Linked DNA regions of Struthio camelus. The protein of the gene in region 2 purifies or fractionates together with the protein of the main gene of each other region. This does not show direct contact. Links are inferred from orthologs where the notes say so. Each region holds a gene or a part of one and is shown on either strand. Other genes may lie near its edges.

What was found. The genes of interacting proteins can lie anywhere in the genome.
Region 1: the proteins of NAPA (region 2) and SNAP23 purify together in Homo sapiens (affinity purification with mass spectrometry; 4 studies listed by BioGRID and IntAct, with this or other methods). This does not show direct contact. The link is inferred for Struthio camelus from reciprocal best matches to the Homo sapiens genes NAPA and SNAP23.

The regions. Positions count from the first base shown.
Region 1 is NC_090946.1:42,632,524-42,639,604, forward strand, and holds the start of SNAP23 (synaptosomal-associated protein 23), read left to right. Parts: upstream 1-4,069; 5' UTR 4,070-4,230; intron 4,231-7,081. UniProt on the Homo sapiens protein: Essential component of the high affinity receptor for the general membrane fusion machinery and an important regulator of transport vesicle docking and fusion.
Region 2 is NC_090957.1:884,655-892,441, reverse strand, and holds the start of NAPA (alpha-soluble NSF attachment protein), read right to left. Parts: upstream 3,017-7,787; 5' UTR 2,909-3,016; coding exon 2,811-2,908; intron 1-2,810. Other genes in the region: E3 SUMO-protein ligase ZBED1-like, read left to right, coding at 7,243-7,393, 7,655-7,787. UniProt on the Homo sapiens protein: Required for vesicular transport between the endoplasmic reticulum and the Golgi apparatus. Together with GNA12 promotes CDH5 localization to plasma membrane.

The DNA of each region.
Region 1 (7,081 bases), on a different chromosome or scaffold from region 2:
AGACTCCTCTCATCACCTCTTTGAGAGGAGCACTGTCTTTGTACTCCTCCTATCATAATTTTTTTCAGCCTCAAACATAACTATTAACGATTGAGACAAAGTTTTATTAAGAATCAACGTAATGATCCACAATCTGGTACAAATAAGCTACTCCATTTAAATATGTCCGTGATTTATAACAGAACTCATATCAGCTTCTTTCAATAACCTTGTGCTGTTTGGCAAGAGATCTTCAACCAACAGACCCTCATAAGAGTGACAGAAATATCTGTCACTTAGTTTTACACTTATCTCTGCAACACTTGGTTGTATCTTTTTTTCTTCATAGCGTATTTATGCTCATAGCGCCCTTCACAGGTAGGCATAGTAGGTCTCTTTTACAGATTGGAAGCTAAGGAATAGCGACTTAGAAGCCAAATCCAAGCGGCCCACTGCACCGACCCAGCTTATCGCAATACTACAGAAGTAGGTACCTGGCCTTGGTAAGATGATTCAGACTCCCGAAGAAGGGCCTATATGATCTCTAGAGAGTGCATTGCAGAGCATTTAGTCAGTTATTAGGCTTATTCAATTTATGCAGTCGCTACAGAGCAATAAGAACCACTGAAGAGTGATACGAGGTTCTCATATTAAGGCAGTCAGGTCACCTGTAAGTAGATGGAGCTCTCGTGTCAAGTAAAACCAAGTTAAGGATCCCAAACACTGAGCTGGGAATCATTAACAGGCAAGCAATAAGAATACAGGGTCCTGTCTGAATACCTACACCTCTGTAATATAGGTACTTGGTCCCAGGGCTGACTATTCAGGGCTTTATCAACTTGGGATCAAAAAGAAAAATAGCCTAAGAGAAGTAGATGAGGGGGAAAAAATTGCTTACACAAGAAATAAGAACATTTTTATGAAAGAAAGAAGTAAGTTACAATGCATAATATCCTCTTATTTTTCCTATAACCAGTTTGAGTCATGTCACATCTCAAATCTTATGACACCATCTGGTGGCAGAGTTCACAGAAGACACTTATCAGATGTTAAAAAGAATTTCATCAATTTAAACTTGACTCCAAATATCTTATGAATTTTGTCTTTACAAGATGAAGTGAAAGCCCAACGGAAAAAAATGCCTTAATTTTATCTAGATGTTTTGACGAAGTTATCTACAAAACCTAGCATCCTCGTACACAATTTAAACATGTACTTATATGTTAGTGATTGTTATTATTCTTTGCACTGGATATCAGAACCTTGCATATATTAAGATGTATTTTGCTGCCACCTCTTCAAACACTTGACCCCTTTGGAGACATGGGCTAGAAGGTACCTTAACTTTGGTCACAGTGATACAGGTAACAGGCTAACATAGTTTGGCTAAAACCAGTGATTTGTTCTGAACTGAAACTACTGCAATACCATACCTATTCAACAAACTTTACAAACAAAGCTAGTCAGTACTGGTACGTATTGGTGATGTGAATGCAGCTGCCTTTCACTCTTGGCTGAAGCCAAGTAAGAACTAAAAAAATGCAGTTGCCTTTAATAAAAAAGACGGTCTCTTTTCAGGTCAGGATTGGAGTATATTTTCTAAGGTAAAGAAGTTACAAAGTCATATTACATTGGCCCTAAGGATCTGCAACATTCAGCCCAGACACTGCAATACTACTAGGAAGATAATTTCAGAGTTCCAAAAAACTATTAAAGAAGTTGTTAGAAGGCTTAAGTATTTTTAGGAGAGGACCTATCAGTCCAGCAAAGCAATCAGTTACCTCAACACAGTAATTAAAGCTTGATTGAAAGAAGTAGCAAATGAAGGATAGAAACAAGAAGCAGAGGAAGTCTGAGAAAAACAGCCCCAAGAACTCATGTTGAAAACAAAGTCCACCACACCTCAATCCTCTGAGCTCATCTGTTCTACAAATCCCTTTAAAGCCATGCTTGAGTGGAAGGGAAGGAGAAAAGGAAAATTTCTTACTTGCATTAGACAGTTGTTACCAGACCACTAGCAATAAGAATAGAAAAATATAAAACGATATTATATTGTCAAAAAGCAAACCACTCAAAACAAACTTAGCCCTTACAGAGCAGTTGTATAAACTTTAAGCATCAATGCTACTTCCGCTCAACATTCACAAAGTTTTTCCTAGTTGAAGGTCATAAGCCCTCCTGAACAGCTCTTACTGTAACTTAAGTTTGTGTATGAACTACTCTGCTTGCAATAACAAACACTTTTAAACAGCTCATATTTCATTATGTCATGAAGACCCGTATCAGAAACTCCACAGAAGTGGTCTCAGTCTTTTCAGGTTACCAGCCGCATTTATCGCCGCATTCATACACGCTTTCACGAGGATATACTTTTTAGCTTTATAGTGTGAGGAAGGTAACCGAGCAACTCTGAACCCAAAGCTGCGTTTCTGCCTCGGACGCTCTTCTAGCGGGTGCGAAGAGACAACACGACAGCCAACAGTCCGCAGCGGAGAACCTGCTCTGCACTGAACCCGACCACAGAGCTCAGGGGGCCCCGCCGCCGCCGCCGCCACCACCACCCGCGACGGCCGTGCCACAGAGCAAACCCAGGCCAGGCCCGGCCTGGCCCTGTCCGGCCGGGCCGGCGGCCGCTGCGACCCCGCCGCGCCGCCGGCCCCGCTCTCCCCGCACCCCGCCGCCAGGGGGGCCCCGCCGCTCGGCCCCCCGCTCCGCCACTCACACATCGCAGCCCTCGCCAGGGCAGCGGCCCGCCAACCCATCACTCGGCCGGCGCCCCGCAGGCCCCGCCGCCGCCCGCCCCGGGGCCGCCGCCGCTCGCACCGCGCCAGCGCCCGCGCCGGGCCGACCCCGCAGAGACCCGCGGCGCACGGCGGGGCGGGGCAACCCCGCGCCCCAGCCAATCCGCCAGCAGGGAGGCGGCCGCTCTGCATGCCGGGAAGTCCGCCTGCCCCCGCCGCGCTGCCTGCTGGGAAGTGTAGTTCGGGCGGCGGAGCGGTGTTAGAGGAAATACCCGCTTACTTCACTGCGGTAGGATACATGCTTGTCAGTTCGGGACGTTTAGTTACCGATAACAATAGTAATCATCGTTATTATCAGTCAGTATAGTGCCATAAACATGCATAGTTGAACCGTGCTGTAGTGCTGTATGCTACTGCTCGAAAAACCTGCTCCTGAAAATCACACACATAGCAGTAGCAAGAAGCCACAGAAATTGTGCTAGGACCAGCACAGGCTGAGCTAGCCTGACAAATCACCTTCAGGAACAGTCTGAAAGGCTTAAGAACAAGTGCCTGTGCTTGTGGCTGGGCTGCGTAACACACAGTAAACCTCAGTCCAGTGGGACCTCTCAAGAAGCGTAAGCCAAAGGGGGCTCTGGATGCTGTAAGGGAAAGCGAAACAAGGCCCGCCTCTGAGACCACAGAGGTTTCATCCCGAGAGGGCACTTCATTAGCCTTAGAAGAGCAGCGCAGCCCACTCTGTGCCCTGATGGCATTGAGAAGTGCTGATGTTGCCCTGGGTTAACAACATTACAGAAGGTATATGATCTTAACGGCAACCTCAGCACAGAAAAAATCAGTTACACTTCAGGAGGAAAACATACACGGAAAGTCAGCACAGTTCAACTATAAAGCGCAAGACCCACAGCTTCCCCTTGCCGGAGGCCCCTGCCCTCTTTCTCCCTCTAGTTACACAGGAGTGGTTAAGGTCCTTCCTCAGAGTGACGGGTACCTCACTCTCAGAAAAATCTCACTGATTCCAACGGGGCTACCGACATACTACGTCTTTATTTAGCATAGCTGCAACTGGCAAAACCCGGACCCTATCGCACCGGCCACGTACAGCCGTCGCCCACCGGCGGAGCGCCGCGGCGCCTTGGCGCATGCGCAGGAGTCCCGTCAGCCACCTCATGGCGCCATGTTGGGTGCACCCAACCTGCGCGCGCCGCCGGACGTTTCCCACGAGGTGCCGGCGGCCCCGCTATAGGCAGGCGGGCGGGCGGGCGGGCAGGCAGGCGGGCGGCTTCTCTTTCCCGCCATGTCGAGTGTGGCGCGCGGCGCCGCGTCCGCCGGGGGTTGCTGGCTTCCCCTTCCGGGGCGGGGCGGTGGCCAGTGACGCGCGGGGCGGGTGGGCGCTCCGCAGCGGGGGCGGGCGGGCGCTGGGCCGTTAAAGGGGCGGCGAGGGGTGCGGGGCCTGGCTTAAGGGTGGCGACCGTTGCGGGGCGTGCAGCAGCGGTGGCGACGACGACAGGTGCGTGGCGGCGGCGGCAGCAGTAGCAGTAGGCGTGTGTGGTGGCCGCCCCAGCCTGCCGACTCGCCGCTCCGCGCCCCGAGCGGAGCAGCCGGGGCGGCGGCCGCGGGAGTCAGGCTGGCAGGTCGAGTCCCCTTCCGCCTTGCCGTTAACGGCTCGGCCCCGCCGGGGCCGCGGCTGGAAGGGCACCGGTGACGGGGTCGTGGCTGCCCGGGAGGGCCGCTGGTGTGGCGGGGCCTGGGGCTGCGCGCAGCCCCTGCTCCACCCTGGCCTCGCCGTGCCGAGAGGCCCGTGCCGCTGGGGTCCGAGCCCTGCGCTGGGCGGGCGGGGGAGGATCCTGGGCGGCTTTCGGATGTTTCTTCTGTGCTTGACTGAACTGATCCGGTTGTATGTTACCGGAGGCACTCCTCCTGTTATTGCTGTTTTTAAACTCTTATGGTTTCCTGCCTTTAGACACGAGTTGGTAAAATTCTGATAGGTACGAACAATAAGTGTTAGAAGTAACTTGTGGGTCTCTGTTTAACTGTAGATCTCGAAACCTTTAGCCCTCCTAGGAAACTGATAAAGAATAGTCAGCTTTATTTTTCACTCTTCTCTTTTGAAGACTTATCTCGGGCAGAGTGCAATTACTGCTTAACACAAAGGTGTAACACAGCACACAATTCCTCAACCCAGACAAATGGGCTGGGGAAGCTTTGGAACTTCTTTATACAGCTTTCCTAGCTATTTGTGTTCCCTTTTTCTGAGGGCAATAGGCATTCAGGACTCAGAACTAAGTAGCTGAGTTTTCCTTTACTTCTCCCTTCATTTAAAAAAAAAAAAAAAGAAAAAGCTAATTCTCTGCTGCAGGTAGAACAGCTATACAGGAAGGCATTTAGGGGCAAAGGAAAAACCTCCCTGGATGTCAATTGCATGATTCTTTGGTTTGAGCAATGAATTCCTTACTGGCAGTCTGGTAACTAGTCTGTATGCCTTAGCGCCCCGATTCTGCAGGGTTTTTAAGTAGCTGATTGTATAGCTTTTTGCACAGTGTTCTTCGTTAGGCAGACAAAATAGCAGCTGTTACTGTCTGTATGTTGATCTAGAGTTGCTTGTTAACTTGTATTGGCTAATAACTAAACTGGAGGAGGTATCACGAGGCTTTTCCAGCAACAAAAATTGCTTGTTGGAACTAGCATAGAAGAGAACACATAGCATAGAGGAGGTGGTGTTGCTAGCGCCTATTCTTTTGGCTGTCTCCTCTGTGCAGTGTGTTCAGGAAGCTGATAAGAGAAAGCAGGAAGCATGCAGAGTGGTTTCTTGTTCTTGGGTTCTGGCCCCTTCCCCCAGTGTCACAGATGCTTTATTCATTTATCTTGTAGACATAATAGCCTGGAGGAGTACGCTCTGGTGCTGATACCTTGTACCAGCCTGTATTTGCTGGGCTGAATTTCAGCTGCTGAACATAAGTAGCATTTTCTATTTGAATAAGGAAGGTTTTTCAAAAGCAGCTCCTGCATTGGTGATGCAAATGTTTTTGTTTTGTTTTGTACTTTTGTATCAAGTCACCTACTCTGTAAACTGTCTAGTTTTAATCTGTGCAAGAGCACACAACTTTCATAATTTATTTTCAATTTTTTCTAAAAATAGTTCTGTTAATGTTCTTCATCTTTTGGAGAAGGCAACTGCTCACTTTACAGGTGAAGGAACAGAGAGCATCCGTGATCTTCTGAGGCTATACCGGTTCACTGATGGCTAAAATTATAGCTCATGAGATCCTGGCTTTCGTTCTGCTGCTGAGACATCTGGATTGTGTCTTCTTGCACTTCCTATCTTTGTTTATAACACAATTGCCCATAAGACGGCGTAGGCTGAATTTTTCAATCATATTTTTTTTTGCCATATCAGCTGGGGGCTATTTGTTATTTCTTCCCTGGTACTTGTAATAAATATCAATGGAAAGATCTAGCTACCAATTGTAGGTTTTTAAGGATAATACTTTGGTATATTTACTGGTAGATTAGTTTTTTAAAAGTATACAATACAGGAATTACTTTCTGATATATCTGAAATGAGGAGGTAGTCAAATATGGGTACATGTGAATAGAAAGGATTAGATCTTGCGTAATCATGACTTTTTGAAAATGAATAACTTGGGCATGCATGTCTAAAAGTTTTCTGATCAACTATGCCATATTTAGTTCCTGACTACTGAAAACTTTTGACTGGATTTTGAGGAGAAAAACAGCGTGAAGCCTTAAGTGCTCTAGCAAGACTCCATGCTTTGCAGGAGTTGACTCATTTTCATTCACAACTTGGAAATAGCTTTTCTGAGAGAGAAATTCTTCTAGAAGGCAAATTTAATGACCCTTATATTTCCAGCATTAAAAAAAAATGACCTAATCCCCACTTGTAACTCTCACAGCTGTTGTCTTCCATTGCCAAAAGTATTACACTACATTCTTCTAGCTTTAGTTCCTACTCCTAAGAAAATTGGGAACCTCTTGCTTATTATGTGTTTATGGAATAGGCACTAAGGTACAGATTGTTCTTTGTTACTGATGCTAGCAAAATGTCTTTAACTGAAAAAGGAAGAGCTTCAGCCTGCATTTCTAGCTGAGGACTAGTAGTGCAGGAGGAAGGATGAAGGACTGTTTTAGACATCCTGATTGTTTAGGTTCAAATAAGGAGCATCACCAGTTGACAAGGAATTAATTTGGGATATCTGAGAAATGTGATAGGTGTCTCTCACATCTGTGAAAGGCTGTCTGTCAGAGGCACAAAACTGCTGCATGTCAGCCAGAGATGCGAGACTGAAAATCTTGCTGAGTTTGTTAAACTGCAAGTGATCAATACAGTATATTGGTCTAGT
Region 2 (7,787 bases):
GAGGAGGAAAATTTCTCCCGCACCCTATAGAGTCATCTACATTACTAGTGCAATCAACATTACTAAGCAAGTCATGATTTACACAAAAAAAGGGTTGGGGGGGGGGGAATCACTAATCTGCAAACAAGATTTGTTTCCCCTTTTTTCTCAGAAAAATAATGGAAAATTATTTTTTAGAAAAAATAATTGGAAAATCAAGGCAATGTGTGCTTTCCATCCCAGCAAAGTTTTATCTTTCAGTCTGGAAGAACAAGACTCTTCTGGAACCACAAGATCCAATCACAGAATCAGCTGCTCTGCCTCAAAGGAGAGGGGGGGGGGAAAAAAAACCCACCACCATTCCCAGTGTTTTTATCTTCAGGCGAGAAGGCCGCACAGGCCAGCACAAACACTAGTGTTCACTAATAACTTGACTAAGGATGCGATAAGCATCTCGCAGATTTCTGAAGCCATGTTTCACGTGCTTTGTGATGTGCCTTCAGACCCTCAGAGCTGAAAACAGCTCAAAGAAACATACAACTACCAGAGTTTTCAGTAGCATGTGAAACAGCCTTTTAACTGAAAGAACACTGCGATTAAAAATCATCATCCTTTAGTATTTAAATACCCTAGTTTTCTGTTCTCCATTAATTTGAAGCTTTCAAATAGTAAAAGCAGCGAGATCTGAAAGAAATTCAATGCTATACAGAAGCAAAGAGCGACTTTAGAGCAACAACAAAAAAGCTGGAGAAACCAGGTGTTGGGACTCCGCCACGCGACTGCTGGGAAAGCCTCCCCAGCTGCAAAACAAGGCTAACAAACCTTCCCCTTATCAGGGCCCTGCAAGGGCAAGGGATGAACTCGTTCTTGCTTATGAAACACTATTTACTTGGGTAAAGCTGAATTTTGCAATCTTCAACACTGGACACCTCTGATTTCTCCCCTACCGATCCAATCATGCAAAGTTGGAGGTAGAGCAAGGGCAGAACCAACCAGTATGAATGCAGAACAGCTTCCAATCTTTGTTTACAGAGGTACGTTCAAATTAGACCAAAAAGGTAAGTTAAATTTATGCAATTTGTCTTTCATAAATAAGATCCGGGGAGGAAGGAGCAGAACTCTTAGTCCTAAACAAGCCAGCGTAGAAATGTAAGCTCAATTAAGATTTGGTAAAGAGAATCCAAAAAAAAAAAAGTTTTTAAAACACAAACTGAAAGCAACTAATTTATGACACATTTAGGGGTGAGCACCAGGGAACTCAGTCAATAGAAACATCTAACAGTTTTTAAGAGCCCCTCAGAAACATGCACTGCCTTTCTAAGTAACCTGGCCCTTTCCTCTAAATTTCTCCATCGTTTCTGAGGTTCCTTACTTCACAGCAGCGCTAAAAAGCTCCCTCTTTCCCCCAGCCCTTGCAGAGGACACTGGGCTTGTTGTTTCAGGGCTCTCTTTGCTGTTTTACCCCTTCTTTAGGGCCGTTTCAGGCTCGGAACAACGCTGGGGCCAAGCCGCCGGCCGCCCCAGGGGTCCGAGGGACGGAGCTCGTCCCCCGAGGCCTTGGCTCCCAGTTTTATCCCAAACTCCCCGTTCTCCACCACTGCCCACCTCCCCTCTTCTCTCCCCTGGGTGGGGAACAGCCTCTGGCACCCCCAGGACTCTGCAGCCCCGACACCCCCACGCAGCCCAGCACCCTCACCCCATAGCACCCCCTAAAACCCCTTCCCCACCCCCCAGCACCCTCACCCCCCAGCACCACCTGACACCCTTCCCTGCCCACCAGCACCCCCCAGTGCCCCGCACTCTCACCCCATAGCCCCCCTGCCCCATAGCACCCCCAACACCCTTCCCCACACCCCAGCACTACACACCTCATAGCATCCCAAAATCACCCACAGCCCACTACCCTCACCCCATAGCCTCCCCCCAGCCCCTAACCCCCCCAAGTGCCCTCCACCCTCACCCTACAGCCCCCCCAGCCCCCAACCCCCCAAGTGCCCACCACCCTCGCCCCCCAGCCCCCCACCCCCACCAAGTGCCCTCCACCCTCACCCCATAGCCCCCCCAGCCCCTAACCCCCCACAAGTGCCCTCCACCCTCACCCCACAGCCCCCCCAGCCCCTAACCCCCACCAAGTGCCCTCCACCCTCACCCCACAGCCCCCCCAGCCCCTAACCCCCCACAAGTGCCCACCACCCTCACCCCCCAGCCCCTAACCCCCCACAAGTGCCCACCACCCTCACCCCCCAGCCCCTAACCCCCCACGTGCCCACCACCCTCACCCCCCAGCCCCTAACCCCCCACGTGCCCACCACCCTCGTCCCATAGCCCCCCCAGCCCCTAACCCCCCAAGTGCCCACTACCCTCGCCCCATAGCCCCCCCAGCCCCCAACCCCCCCAAGTGCCCACCACCCTCGCCCCATAGCCCCCCCAGCCCCTAACCCCCCCAAGTGCCCTCCACCCTCGCCCCACAGCCCCCCCAGCCCCCAACCCCCACCAAGTGCCCTCCACCCTCGCCCCACAGCCCCCCCAGCCCCCAACCCCCCCAAGTGCCCTCCACCCTCGCCCCACAGCCCCCCCAGCCCCCAACCCCCCCAAGTGTCCTCCACCCTCGCCCCACAGCCCCCCCAGCCCCCAACCCCCCCAAGTGTCCTCCACCCTCGCCCCACAGCCCCCCCAGCCCCCAACCCCCCCAAGTGCCCTCCACCCTCGCCCCACAGCCCCCCCAGCCCCCAACCCCCCCAAGTGCCCTCCACCCTCGCCCCACAGCCCCCCCCCAACCCCGCCAGGGCCCGGGGGAGGGGCAGGCCCGAGGCCCGGCGCAGCGCACTCACCCGAAGAGCCCGGCGAAGAAGGACTGGGAGCCGCGCACCTTCTTGTCGGCCTCGGCCAGGAGCTGCAGCGCCTCCTTCTCCTTCCCGGCCTGGTCCATGGCGGCCGCTCGCAGCCCACTCCGCTCCGCTGCCCGACGCCGCCGCCGCCGCCTCACGTGACACCGGCGGCGCGCCGCATTGGCGGGCGGCGCCCACGTGATACGCGCGCGGCTGCGAGCGCCCCCTCTGGGCCGCGCAGCCAACCCGGCGGCGGCGCCCCCTGGCGGCCGGGGGGAGGAGGCGGCGCGGGCAGCGCAGGCCCGGGGGGGGCACAGAGACCTTGGGGGCCCCCAGGAGCTGGGGGGGCACAGACACCTTGGGGTCCTCCAGGAAATGGGGGGGGCACAGAGGCTCTGGGGTCCCCCGGGGGCTGGGGGGGGCAGAGAGGCTCTGGGGTCCCCCAAGGGCTGGGGGGGGGCACAGAGACCTTGGGGTTCCCCAGGAGCTGCGAGGGCACAGTGACCCTGGAGTCCCCCAGGAAATGGGGGGGGGTACAGAGACCTTGGGGTCCCCCAGGAGCTGGGGGGGGCACAATGACTCTGGGATCGCCTGGCAGCTGGGGGGGGGCACAGAGACCTTGGGGTCCTCCAGGGGCTTTGGGGGCACAGTGACTCTGGGGTGCCCTGGGAGCTGGGGGGGGGCACAGAGACCTTGGAGTCCCCCAGGAGCTGGGGGGCACAGTGACCTTAGGGTTCCCCAGCAGCTGAGGGGGTCACAGTAACACTGGGGTCTCCCCGTCCCCGCAGGAGCTGGGGGGCACTGCGACCCTGGGGTCCCCCGGCAGCCGGGGAGGGGGGGGAGCAGGGCGACCCTGGCAGGTTGCTACATGGCTGCGTCCGGCCGCACAGGAGCTCAGGCTCCGGGAGCGCGAGGTCCCTGCAGGAACCTGGTTTGACAGCGTTAAATAAAAGCATTTTTGTCCTTTTTCAGGTGTACTGACAGACCAGCGTCAGGGCGGCAGAGTCACGGCGCGGGAAAGCACAGCTCTTTTCGTGCGTTTGCATCCCGACGAACTCTGGGGCCAGCCACGCTCCCGCGTTCCTGCCGGTACTGAATTCACCGAGGATTATTTAGCACCTCCCAGGCCTGGGCCTGGACGATTTAACTGACGCTTTGGGCCTCGACGACAGAGCAGGGCGGCCAGCGCTCTTGCACGAGCCAGTACATCTCCCCGCAGCATCAAAGAGAGGGGTTGCAAGCGGCTGCCGGCTCCGGCGGATTAAGCAACGACAGAAATCCTGGTTTGCCGCGAGAGCAGGCGAAGCGCAAGGAAACTCCGCGACAGACCGGCTCGTCATGAGACGGCGAAGGAGGGACGAGCTCCTGCCTGGCGGCGGTCAGAGCCCGCCGGTTTGGGCTTTCTGTCGAGACACGAAGTCGTGTCTCTGCGCGGCTGCTCCTTCCCTCGCTCTACCATAAATCAGCCGGAGATAATTGCCGCCACCGTTCTCCTCGCTGCGGTCTCCGATTTTTAGGTGGGCTGGAGCTTACGGACGTGTTCCATATGGCGCTGTGCGCGAGCCGCGCGTTGAGGAGCCGTCATCGCCCAAGGTGTTTTGATGCATCTCTGAGCGGCTGGAGGAAGGCTCTATGTTCCTTTTAAAGGAATACCACTCCGGTAGCAGATTTGTAAATGCTGCGACCTCACCAGACACAACCATTAACCCCTTCCAGAGATGCAGAAGCTGAGGCACAGCTTTAGCCATTTGCAGTCGGGGGAGAGAGCACAGACGCTCAGCCACCCGGGGGGCCCTGCCCCATGGTGCGCCCTCTGGGCCACTGCCAACTCCTTTAAAGAGACATTTAAGCAAAATCCCATGTTCTCTATTAATTAGCTAGGACCAAGCTTTGATTTTACAGACTCACAGATTTTAAGACTGAAAGGGACTCTCAGCTCATCCAGTCTGACTCACCCAGGACACAAAATGTTATCTTCCTTTAGTGAGCGCAATAACGTACGTTCTTCTCCCTCAGGGCCAAATAAATCTTTCATACAGCTTTGGTAGGCCACACGTTTAATGTGTATCTTAGTGCTATCTAACCATAGCGGACACAAAACCATACGGCTGCGAGACATACGGAGCGAAGCTGTGGGCTGCGTCTTGCCCCTAGGATGCAGGTTCTGGGCTGCCTTTCCAGAAAGACTTCTACTCGTGACACAAAATATGCCGCTTCTCCGGAAACTTGTTCTCGTGGCTAAGCACTCACACAGTTAAAACTGCGTACCTCGTTAGCAGGGTATCCAGCAACACAACGGGTTCTTAATTTTGCAACAGATCACGATTAATCGGGTTTTTTTTTTTTTTAAACTGGCCGCCCTAAGCGGGTAAAGGACCTCTTCCGAAGGCAAACCGAGACGCCCTCGCTGCGCGCAAGCAAGCCCGAGCTCCCGGGCTGCCGCGTGTGCCGGCACGCTCGCCGCCGCGCTGCCAACGGCGCATCCATCTCGGTTCCCGGCACTTCTCCTCCCAGCACGAACTTTTGAGAGGAGCCCTAAATGAATTACTTCCAGGTGAAAGGGTAGCACTCCCCTTCTCCCGCACAGCTCCGCACTGCCAACAGCCCTCCAGCCCCTGTTGCGCCCATGCTAACAAAGGCGTGAGTATAAAACGACCTCTGTCTGCTTGTTTCTCCATCTGTCTAAGCTTTCTTTCGATCCGTGCACCTCAATATGCTTTTTTTTTTTTTTTTTTTTGCCATGTACTGAACACAATGCCTATAGCTGACAGCTTTTCAGTGCAGGGGAGGTGAAACACTAATTGGCAGAACAAATGAGCCTGCAGAATAATTTTCAGGCAGGAATTCCCCTGAATACAGCAGCTACCTACGGCCGGCTGGAGGTTTTAAATGTGACGTCACCAGCTGGGTTATTTCCACCATCATCCGGCACTGCCTTCAGCCACGCGATGTGACTCTCCATGGCGTTGCAGCAGCTTTTCCACATGCGACGCGTCCTCCCCTCCTCCGAACGCTTCGTAGAGTTACACAAAGTGGCGGCAGGAATCAACGGCTGCAGCAGGCAGCCCGAAATGACAAGGCAATTCAAAGGGAGAGCTAAGCTAGGATTTAATTTTAAGGACAGTCTCCTGACAAGCATGCTCAGGCAGGTGCAATCCATGCAGAAACCGCTTTCCACCTCTCGCTGCCAGAGCGGACGACCTTGCTAGCATAGATTTTTGTCGTGCCCGTTGCCAGATGAGCGACTCCTTCCAGAGGTAAAACACAGAACAGGTGTCCCCAGCCACCTGAGAAACGCACTGTAGCTCACGACATGCAGCTCTCCAGCTTGCCTGCCAGAAGCGCGTGCAGCGGCGTTTTTCATACGTGAAACAACCAGTTCCTTCTTTACTAAAATCCATGCCTGTGAGATATATAAATCTATGGTTTATGATGCCTTCAAGGGCTTCCTGGTCTTAAAGACTGGTGCCAGGTAGCCCCTGCCCTCTGCACCGAATGCTGCAGTGCAGAGGGAGATCCCAGCTCTCAGAAGACTTAACAAGCAGCTGTGTGCGAGCGTCTCTTCTCATACTCACACTGCCAGAACACTGCCTTTCCACTTCTGAAGAGAGGAATAAAGAGGGGAGGTAAGGGAATGACTAAGAAACCCATATTTCTCAGTGCATGAATCACTGATAGGAAGCTAGAACAGACTCTCTTTTGCTAATTGGGGGAAAATCAGCCTGCAGGGTCACTGAAGTATGAAGGAGGAGGTTTCCTTTTCGCTGAACTATATATACTGTTGCTTTACATCCTTCTAATTTACAGCGCTGTCCAATTTGCTTCGGTTGTTACACTGCCACATTTCACTGAAATACCTCAGCACTAGGCAGATAATATCTTATACTTCTAAGGAAAAGAAATTCCCTCTAGGACAGGAATTACCACAGTAGATCATACAGAAAGCCGAATTAAATTACCATTACAGCTTTCCCTGTCTTGTACTGGTTTGATCCTAGATTTCAAACAAAGAACCTAATCCTGGAAACGTTTTAGGACCAAAATGCTATGAAACCCACAGATGACAGGTAGTGTAGGTAATGATTAATTACTGCATGAGACCCTTGTAAAACAGCGCAGGGGCTTAGATAATGATATCACCACCCTAGCGTAACTAAAAGAGCAGTCTGATCGTGCATTAAACTGTGCAATTTTAATTGCTTAGGTCAGAAGTACAGGATGATGGCCCTTGTCACAGCAACAGTCTCGCCTAGTCCACTTTCCAGTGTCTGACAGCAAATACTTAAAGAAAGACTATGTATAAACTGAGCCTTTTCTGGCCCTATCTTCCCAGCTTCTAACCCCCAACCACTTCTGGGTGATAGCTTTTAATAGCCACCACCATTTTTCTAACGATCCTTATTTTTCCCCCCTCCAAACTCTTGCAAAGAACAAAATGGCAGATGTAAACTCCAAGAGAGTATCTCAGTTCTTGCAGAAATGCGTCAAGCCAGAGGACAACGGAGGAGACTCGCAGCCAAAAGAGGAGACAACAGAAGAGCAATCTCTTCCTATCATCACTCAGTCCTACCCTCAGACAGTACAAGGTATGTGTATTTCTTTGGCTTTTTCTCAAAAAGATGTAGAAAGCTGTAAATAGCAATATCTGAACATGATACTTAAAAGCTGTGTTGACACTTTGTATTAAAGATGCAGATAGAAATGTTTTGCTAAGGATTTATACATCAGAAAACGTTACTGTGTGCCTCTGGCTTAGAATAATGAAAGGGACTAAAGCAAGAAGATTTAAAGGGAGGCTTGTATTCAATTTTTAGATTACATTGTGCTGCATTTTCTCTTCTTTTCAGAGGAAATATCAATGGTCTTCAACACATACAATATGGCAGCCAACCTTGGGCCAGCCTCCAGGAGGAAGAGAGAGAAAGGCACCAGTCACGATGGCACAAGTACCTCTCTCTACGTTGACCGCCGGAAGTCTAA